3 linked regions of the Kluyveromyces lactis genome follow. The protein of the gene in region 1 interacts with the protein of each later gene in a pairwise test. Links are inferred from orthologs where the notes say so. Each region holds a gene or a part of one and is shown on either strand. Other genes may lie near its edges.

Evidence for each region.
Region 2: the proteins of GIR2 (region 1) and GCN1 interact in a two-hybrid assay, tested with the Saccharomyces cerevisiae proteins (2 studies listed by BioGRID). The link is inferred for Kluyveromyces lactis from reciprocal best matches to the Saccharomyces cerevisiae genes GIR2 and GCN1.
Region 3: the proteins of GIR2 (region 1) and RBG1 interact in binary tests that used the Saccharomyces cerevisiae proteins (3 or more experiments, as listed by UniProt). The link is inferred for Kluyveromyces lactis from reciprocal best matches to the Saccharomyces cerevisiae genes GIR2 and RBG1.

What each region holds. Positions count from the first base shown.
Region 1 is NC_006040.1:1,411,108-1,413,724, reverse strand, and holds GIR2 (Gir2p), read right to left. Parts: upstream 1,336-2,617; coding exon 532-1,335; downstream 1-531. Other genes in the region: ENT5 (Ent5p), read left to right, coding at 1-218; putative mRNA-binding protein CTH1, read left to right, coding at 2,346-2,617. UniProt on the Saccharomyces cerevisiae protein: Acts as a negative regulator of the GCN2 kinase activity by disrupting the GCN1-GCN2 interaction in amino acid-starved cells.
Region 2 is NC_006042.1:1,148,722-1,152,812, reverse strand, and holds the start of GCN1 (Gcn1p), read left to right. Parts: upstream 1-1,203; coding exon 1,204-4,091. Other genes in the region: KLLA0_F12452g (uncharacterized protein), read left to right, coding at 1-604. UniProt on the Saccharomyces cerevisiae protein: Ribosome collision sensor that activates a translation quality control pathway when a ribosome has stalled during translation. Directly binds to the ribosome and acts as a sentinel for colliding ribosomes.
Region 3 is NC_006042.1:2,172,548-2,175,801, forward strand, and holds RBG1 (GTP-binding protein RBG1), read left to right. Parts: upstream 1-1,542; coding exon 1,543-2,652; downstream 2,653-3,254. Other genes in the region: FUN12 (translation initiation factor eIF5B), read right to left, coding at 1-881; KLLA0_F23309g (uncharacterized protein), read right to left, coding at 3,226-3,254. UniProt on the Saccharomyces cerevisiae protein: Involved in ribosomal function.

The sequences.
Region 1 (2,617 bases):
TTCCACCTGCATCTGGTAACTTTAACAGTTTTGGTAACGATAATAATAATAATAATAATAATAATAAAACCTCTAATAATAATGCTACATTGAATGATCTTCTAGATTTCGGTGGATCTAGCAGCACCACGACGCCAGCCGCGACCAACAATAACAACGCCAGCACGAAATCCGATGCTTTTGCTGATCTATTCTCTATGTCCAAAAACCAAATATGAAACTCCCAAGTATATCAACATAACAATTCGAATCAAGAGGCTCCCTCGATTGAATAGCATTAACTATCACATGGCTAGTGGGACTTGTCATATTTTATATTCTTACAACTAGAACTCACAACCCCTACTATTATTATTATCATAATTTTCTTATCTATATACTGTAAATATATGAAAAAAATTACCTGACCTTGCACCGTGAGACTTTTACCTTCATTAATGAGAAGGTGTATTAACTATGCTTAGTCTAAGGTTTAAAGTGATGCCATATTATGAAATCAATCATTAGAAGTGTTATAAAAATATGGAGAATTTAAACTGCTATGGCTTTTACACCTTCTGAGATCAAAGATTCATTCTCCTCATCCAAATCCTCATCGCCAGCAAGTCCTTGTTCGAAGATCTGTCTACCAGAAAGTCTCCCCTGGTGGGCAGCAAGACGTCTCTGGGCGTCTCTTTCGTCCAACCCCAGTTCTTTCCTAAACTTGGCTCTCCATTCGATGTATGATTCTCTTGTCACTTTAGTACCTCTGAACTTTTTCTGTTCCTCCTTTTCACGTTCCAGCAGCAACCTATCATGTTCTTTCTCCAGTTCACTTAGCTTTTCTTGGAACCACTGTTCGGCGTAGTCTTTGATGTTGGAAATCAAAGCGAAGCACATCTGCATCCCAAGAAGCATATCTTCTTGGATTTGTTCATTCAATTTCTCGATACATTGCGGTATAAATTCATCGAAATGGATTTTATCAGGTATATTTTCGAATTTTGATACTATCGGGTTACCATGGTCATCGTATTCAATTTCGTCCTTATCTTCATCGTCCTCGTCATCCACATCTTCATCATCTCTGTCGAATTTTGGCACTTCTTCCGGCATAATCTTAATTAGAGGTGCTTCATCGGGGTAATTTTCTGGTAGAGTAAAAATAGTATGCAAAATATGATCATTAGTTATCGAATCCACGGTGTATGAAGAATCATCCAAGGGTACGGGGTCCAATTTGATATCAATTTGTAATTCGATCTCTGGGTACTCAGAGTTCAGAACAGTAAATTCATCTGGATAGATCGACTCTAGAATCTCAAGTTCCTGCGTCTGTTCTTCTTTATAGTCCATTGTGTAGTTAACTGGAAGGGGTTAGGGCGTATAGAAACAATTAGGTAAACTCTCAAAATGTGTATTCAGTACATTTCGTAACACGCTTCCTCTGCATATAACTGGACTGGCCGTACAAATTTCAACTTGACAATGATAATGATGATGATGCTTGAAAAATCTGACAGAGTGAGAAGTGTGCTAAAACAGATACAACATTACCCGGATACAGAATGTACCCTCTTCATTTTCTATCACGTGGATTAAAAACTCAGTCATGCAAAAACCCGATTACTACCTAAAGGAAACTGGCGGAAATAAATGCTTGGCGCAGCCAAAAGAGGTGAGCCTCTCTGTCTCCTAGAAAACCCACAAGACCCCTCTAGGAACAAAAAGAAATAAAATATACCGGTTCCAGTCCTATCTCATTTTTCATACACACACCCAAAACTAGTGGAGAAACTAGAGGAAATCAGCCAGAAACCTTTGATTGTTAATCACGTGCATTACATTTTCTCCTCAAAACTTCCGTTTTCCGGGTGTCGCATTCTTCTGTGTCCGGGTAATATCCTCAACACAGCCGTTCCGGATTTCGATACGGAAAAATTCCAGTTTCGAGGTGCAGTCACTTCGCACGGTGCACCTTGAAAAATGGATTAAGACTCGTCTGGCCTGCTTTCACTGAGCAAAAAGCCTTTTAATATGGTTCAATGACCTGCATTTGTACGGGCAATTCTGAGGGTTGTCATATTTAAGAGCACCCAGATTTCCCATTCTTGTGAGTTTCTGGGTGTCAGTCAGACTTAACAACGACAGGTATCACTAAAGGTTTACAGACGTATATATATATATATATAACCTAGGTATTGTCACATCGCTTGGAGAGTTATAATTGGATTACCATTCTTGTTATCTTGGCTCCTTTGTAGTTTAAAAAGTAAGGCATTTTAGCAACACTTTTGGTGGTATTAATTGACGAAATATTGCTCGAAGACAAGAATTCTGCCATCTAAGTATATATATTATCATCAATGAATTATACCAATTACAACCATAGTGCTAGCATTTCGTCTCGTTCAACACAGACTTCGTCTGTGTTTTCGAACGAAAATGAAGATTACGATGCTAGAATTCGCGAGATCGAAGAGTACTACATCAAGACTCTGTTGAATGATGATGCGGGTGACGATGGATTGTCGAAGCAACAGCAACAACAATTGCAGCCTCAGTTCCAGTACCAGCAGTTACCAAACCTTTTCTCGCGTTCTTCTTTCGGTACTGTTCCTCAATCTCAAAACAAGGA
Region 2 (4,091 bases), on another chromosome or scaffold:
AGGTGTTGGACTTTCTCTACCTTCTAAGAGCAAAATAGAGAGGTCCTTCAGAGAACGAGCACTAGAACTAGAGGATTCAGTTGATCCCTTATCTCGAGGATCGACTGAATCTGGCTCTAACTATACGAAGAAACCGTCTTTGTTTAGCGGTAAAGTCAGAAATGATCCACCGTACCACAACCAGAAGTTATCCACTTTAGATAGTCTTGCTTCACCAAATTCACTCCCACCTGTGGATTATGTCATGGAACTAATTTACGAATCTGCAGTCTTAGTGAGTGACGTGAAATTGATGGTTAGATGCAAGGACTGCTTGCATATTTCTAAAGAAATCAAAACTCTCAAGAAAAAACTTGCACAAGATATGTCTGAAATTGATGACACTTTGATGAAACAAAGAAGACAGCCAACTTTGCGTTCAATAACGAGACCTGAATCTCAAGAGCAATCTCCTCATCTTCCACTTCACACACATAGTAATCCGCACCTGCCGTCACCGTCACCGTCACCAAATCTCAAATCTTTTGAAAAGATCACCAAGACAATCTCAAACTTGACTATTGGCACTGGAAGGTCCAAGACTAACCAAAGTAACAAGTCTTGAACACGATAAGTTTAGACTTGACCTTACACATTATATGACTTTATGTATTATAATTGAAAGTTTTCAGTATTATTTTGTTTCAACCATACTAGTCACTATCATGCAGCGTCAGTATAGTTAAATAATATCGTACCTTCTTTTCTTCATAGAAAATGATAGTAATTTTCTGGACAAACTCTGTGTTGTCCAACCAAGTGGAAAGTCCAATTGATAACTGAATGTGAAACTGCTACAAATCGCACATTAAAGAAAGTATCACTTGCGAACTACTATGCCCATTAATATATCAATGGGATGATTATAATACTAATTATATTAAGTATAGTATTAGCCTCAAGTTAGTTACAATACATCATTTTGTACGTTTTGATCTTGTACTTTTTTTTTCTTTCACCAAAGCTTTTCAGATTTGTATGTTAAAATCTTGAATAGTTTTTTAAACAAGAGCAGAGTTCATTATTTCAGAGATGAGTTGTGATTTAAGCAATGTTGTTTTAGACGCTTATCAGCGGCAAGCCATTGAAAATTACCGACTCTTAATTTATTAAAAGTACGACATAGTTGAGAAGTCTCATCTCATTTTTCAACAGTATTTACGGATGTCTACTTGGGAAAATTTAGAGCCTGTTCTTTACAGAGACTGCCACGCTTCTTTATTGACAGTCAGGCTACCGGTATTAAGAAGTGCCCTAGAACTGTTAAAATCCAACGATAAAAGTAAAACTGATAGCTCGGCGTTGGAATTGATTTTCAATTGCGTACTAAGCACTTATGATTTATATCAGGATAAAGAATCAAAAGTTCTAGTCACTTCAATCCTGGTCCAATTGTTTGAAACCGACCCCATCTATTGTAAAAAGATAAGTGATTTTGTTATCAAGACTGCCAGCACTCAAAACTGCCCTTCTAAAGCTGTTACTGATTATTTAAATTTATTGGAATGGGTGCTTAAATTTTTGAATTTGATTTATGAACAATCAGATGAGCTCTTCAATGTTTATTGGAAAGAAATAGTCCACGCTTATGTGATGCTTGTAGCAGCTATCGAGACTATCCTAGATACCCATGAACCTTTTAAGAAAGATTTGAATAAGCAAAACCAACATCGTAAGAGATTGAGGCTCTGTGTCTTCCAACAATCTGTTAAGAGTTTCGTTAGTTGTGTGAACCTGGAATCTACTACAGATTCAAAATCTAATATTGTTGATGATGTTATTCCATTGTTATTAGACAACTACTCGAAATTGAAGCTTCCAAATACTGGTGTAGTTATCACTCTGGGATCCCTAGTTCATTCTGTATTACAGTGCCAAGCCAAGAAACCAATTCCTTTGCATTCGCTGGAACAGTTGACTGAAAGATTAGTAGAGTATCTCGGTAAAGAAGTTATCCTCGCCAAAGAGTTGCCTTCAGCATTCTGTTTGGAACTTTTCCTGAAAGAATTCCTATATTCATTTGTTACTGAAGAACAAGTTCAGAAGCATTTGATTCCAAGCTTTGAGAAAGCAAATTTAAGATCACCAGAAACATCTTTCACCCAATCTGCTGAATTCTATTCGGCGTTCAATTCTAACAAAGTTAATAGTTTGGGTTTATTTGTTTCATCAAAATGCATTACTCAAACCTTTACATCATTCAAAAGCTCAAAAGATATCGTACGTGAAAGCTCCTTGAAGTCCCTAATATCATTATTGAGGTCAATATGTTCTGATTCCTGTGACGAATCATCTTTACAAAAACTTGTGGATGAGGCTTTTAAGAACATGAAAACCAACCTGAATACCGACTATAAGATTATTATATCCAACTTGTTAATAAATGTACCAACTTTCTCCAATCAAGTGTCTTCAAAAATCGTGGATGGGTTGAGAACTTATATTTCGAAGGAATCCAATGAGACAGCATTGAATATTATGTTATCAGCATTTTTCCACCATTTGTCCTCATTAGAAACAGCAGACGAAGTTTCAATTGCTGCCATAAAGTCCGGTTTTAATGAGAATAAGTTACCTTTGAGAAAGATATGGTACAATTCTTTTTTAAGCAACCTAAACACTGCAAAACTAAATATCATTGTTCAGCTCGAAGACGAAACACTTGCATATCTGAAGGAGGTCTGTAATAATCCATTAAAAAATGGAGAAGGTTCAGCATATGGATGTTTCGTTTACATTCAACATCTTATTGACTTGAGTGCAACTGCAATACTTTCCAAAATCGATGACATCCTTGAAGCACACAAGGAGTCATACGGTCTTTCTTGGATATATGTTACCCTATCCACGCAAGTGCCTTTTGAACAGAGAAAGCAAGCTTTACAGCTTCTAAACTGCGCATTTTACAGGAACCCACAATTTGTCGGCAATGCAATAATTGATGCTTTTGAAACTTTGTCAAAACAAAAGAATGATACTCTTTCGCGTATATCATTTTGTTTTGCAGCACCTTTATTCAATACCCTATCTCAGAAACTTTCGGATAAGTCTGTCTCCGTACATTTGTTAACAAGGCTGTTAGTATTATCCCAATTAGACGGCATTAAATTGAAGAATGGATGGGCTGGCTTAGTCCTTAATGCAGAGTTGGATCCTTCTGAAATAGTGAGACAATACGGTGAGAAATTATTCGACAATATGATGTATTTGCTTAACAGCGCTGATAAAACAACACCAGAATTAAGAAGAGCCATTATTAAAGCCATTTCTCACCTCTCATTTATCAATCCTGAGATCACCTCACCTTTGGTAGCAAGCATGATTCAATTAAACTTGGATACAACAAAACTATCTGCTGTGACAGAACAAGAAATTGAAATCTGGAACGGAAAAGAAGGTACACTTGTCGTCGATGTACTCTCTGCAAAACAATCAGCTATCTTAAACAACAAGAATTCAAAGGATTATGAAATTCTAAAATGGCAAGAAAGTATAAGAAAGGACCAAGCCAAGAAAGGTTCAAAGAAGTTGAACAAGGAAGAACAACAGATTGTCGACGAACAGTTGAAAAAGGAATCAAATGTTAGATCAAGTATTAATGAGCTCGTTTTATCTGTGAAATGCGTTATTGATATCATTTCTCAGTTGGCTTCTGAAGCAAATCTTTTGGATAATGGTATCAAATATTGGTTCCCCACATCTGTGAATTCGTTGTTAGATATTCTACAACAGAAAAACTTTTATTTGCTATTTGGATCACTCGGATTTGACGTATTTTTGCAATTATCCTTTTTGTTGGATGATAGGTTAGGAATGTTCGCTAAAACTGTTGGTTACGCAACGATGATAGTTCATAGAGTTCCTCATCTTCTTTCAGATCTGAATTCAGAGACTAAATTGGAACTGATTTCAACTGCATTATTCAAAATCAAACATGGTTGCAGACAAATACCTTTCCAATCTATGGCATTGACTTATATCCTTCCACTACTCGTAAAAGTAATGGAAATCGGTAAAAAAGTTGCAATCAAGAATGCTAATAAACCTACAAA
Region 3 (3,254 bases), on another chromosome or scaffold:
TCTTCGACTTCTTGAGTTTCAGTAGCTTTCTTCTTCTCTTCTTCGATTGCCTTTTCGGACTCGATTTGTTCCTTGGTCTTTCTGACTCTTTTACCGTAAACAACCTTCTTTGGTTTTGGATGCTCATCGCCGGATTTTTCTAGACCAGCAACCTTGATGTTACCGGCAGCCAATAGAGCAGCACGTCTGTTTTCAAGCAGTTTCTTTTCCTCCTTTTGTTTCTTAGTTAGAAGTTTACCCTCTGCCTTTAACTTTTCACGCTTAGCTTGTTCTCTCTCACGCTTAGCCTTTCTAGCTTCTTCCTTTTCTTGTTCAGCCTTGGCCAACTTTTCTTCTTCTTCCTTCTCCAATCTCTCTTCTTCTTCCCTGGCCAACCTTTCTTCTTCTTCTAGCTGCTTTTGTAACTCCAATTGACGTTTCAAAGCAGCAAGACCGGCTGGGACCTTCTTCTTTGGTGCAGCCTTTGGTGCCGCACCTTCAGTGGACTTGCCAGCCTCCTTTTCAGCCTTCAGTTTAGAAGTTTGTTCAGCATGAAGTTTCTTGTTGTTTTCCTTCTGCGCTTGTTGCTGAGCCTTCTTCTTTGCGGCTTGTTCCCTCTTCTTCTCCTTCTCCTTCTCCTTCTTTTCCTTTTCCTTTTCCTTCTTGGACTTCAAGACTGGCTTCTTAGTATCCTCGTCTTCCTTCTTGTCCAGCTTCTTCTTAGATTTCTTCAAAGTGGACATAAAATCTTCCTCAATGGCAGATGCATCGGCAACTTCGGTTTCACCACTTGGCTCAACAGAACCATCTATCGAGGGTTCTACTGAAGATTCTTGAGGAACATCTTCCTCATACTCTTCGTCCCAGTAATTCTGTTGATTCTTCTTTGATTTTTTCGCCATCTTGAACTACTCTTTCGGATACAAAGGTTCTACTTTTACAGTTCTTCCGAAATCTTATTATGATAGACAGCAAACAAAGTGTAAAAGAGGGTTATAACAAGTAAAGAGATAATGTAAAATCCTTTTAATTGATCTTACGCAAAACAATCTTTCAAATAGTTTTAAGTTGTGAGAAAAACCTGTACTAAAAAATAAAAAACTGATGAAAAACTTCAAGTTCATGATTATACGTACCTCGATGGAAAGAAAAAAATAACATACTAGATTACCCTGTCTTTGGTGAGGTGCGCCCAAAATTCATCTTTCAGGGGCCAGAAAGGTCCCATTAGCCTTATTTTCGGGGTGAAGACCGGTCGATGCCATTCAGCATCGCTATTTACGATCGGCGTTGAAGATGTATAAAATATCACCTTGGACGGCTTGAAAAAAATTGACAGCTTCATCTTTGTCAACAGTAGGAAGTTCTACAGATATTCACAATCTCATCGCTTAGGATTAATGATATTAGAGTTTCATTATAGTTTGGTTACAGAGGCCAAAATCAGTTAAACGGTTGGAATCGATAGGTATCAGTCAGTATTCCACTGAGGTTGGCATCAAATTATAAAAAAAGGATTTATTTTGAAGAATTTCCTGATCAATATCTGAATTGAAATAAAAGATGTCTACGACAGTAGAGAAGATTAAGGCCATCGAAGATGAGATGGCCCGTACCCAAAAGAATAAGGCCACTTCTTTTCATTTGGGTCAGTTGAAAGCTAAGCTAGCGAAACTTAGAAGAGAGTTATTGCAGGCTGCTTCAAGCGGTAGTGGTGGTGGTGCCGGTGTTGGTTTCGATGTGGCCAGGACCGGTGTTGCTTCAGTCGGATTTGTTGGGTTCCCCTCAGTGGGTAAGAGTACTTTACTTTCTAAGCTGACTGGTACAGAATCTGAGGCTGCTGAGTACGAGTTTACCACTTTAGTTACGGTTCCAGGTGTCATCAAATATAAGGGTGCTAAGATTCAAATGTTGGATTTGCCGGGTATCATTGACGGTGCTAAAGATGGCCGTGGTCGTGGTAAACAAGTTATCGCTGTGGCCAGAACTTGTAATCTACTATTTATTGTTTTGGACGTTAATAAACCATTGCATCATAAACAAATCATTGAAAAGGAATTGGAAGGTGTTGGTATCCGTTTGAACAAGCAACCTCCAGACATTTTAATCAAGAAAAAGGAAAAAGGTGGTATCTCCATTACAAATACAGTACCATTGACGCATCTAGGCCCGGACGAAATTAGAGCTGTTATGAGTGAATATAGAATCAACAGTGCGGAGCTTGCTTTCAGATGTGATGCCACCGTCGATGATTTGATTGATGTACTTGAAGCTCCATCAAGAAGGTATATGCCAGCTATTTATGTGCTAAACAAGATAGATTCTTTGTCATTAGAAGAATTGGAACTTTTATACAGAATTCCAAATGCAGTTCCAATCTCTTCTGGTAAGGAATGGAATTTGGATGAACTACTAGAAGTTATGTGGGATAGACTAAACTTAGTCCGTGTTTATACTAAGCCAAAGGGTACGATGCCTGATTTCACAGACCCAGTGGTGTTAAGGTCGGATAGGTGTACCGTAAGAGATTTCTGTAACCAAATTCACAAATCTTTAGTTGAGGACTTCAGAAATGCTTTAGTGTACGGCAGCAGTGTGAAGCATCAACCTCAATATGTGGGGCTTAATCACACATTAGAAGATGAAGATGTTGTCACAATTTTGAAGAAATGAATACAGGCTACTTTTTTTTTCTCATTCTTCTCACCGTCATCATAGTTTTTAGCATTTTCATCGCATTTTCATGTAGTGTTATCCATTTTATTTAACAGCTTTCCATAGACGGATCTGGTTAGATTATCGTAAACGTTCATTACTCAGGTTGCCATAACTTCTGTTAAACATTAACTCAATACTGATTTGTCGTGTTATGTTTAAATTCATAAATAGTAGTAAATATATGATATTTTGTGAAATCGATAGCAACGGATACATATGGCCTTTTTATATTGGCCAACATATATGTTAAGATATAAAAGCAATGATGGATGCTGATGGTGATATGGAAAGAAAGAATGAATGAATGAAACTTCGGTTATTTGACGAAGTGAATATTATTCTATTAGAAATGAATGTGAATAGTATTGGTGGAATCCTCAAAATCACAGCAGTATTTTAATGAATCCTTTTAAGGTGCGATATAGTACAGCTTGAATTAACAAACAAGGAAATCTGGAGGAAAATGCAGCCTACTGATGAGAGTGTATTCCATTGAATAACGGATAAATTCGCAGAGAAATAAATCCCTTATTTATTTAACGCCATTCTTTTTAGTC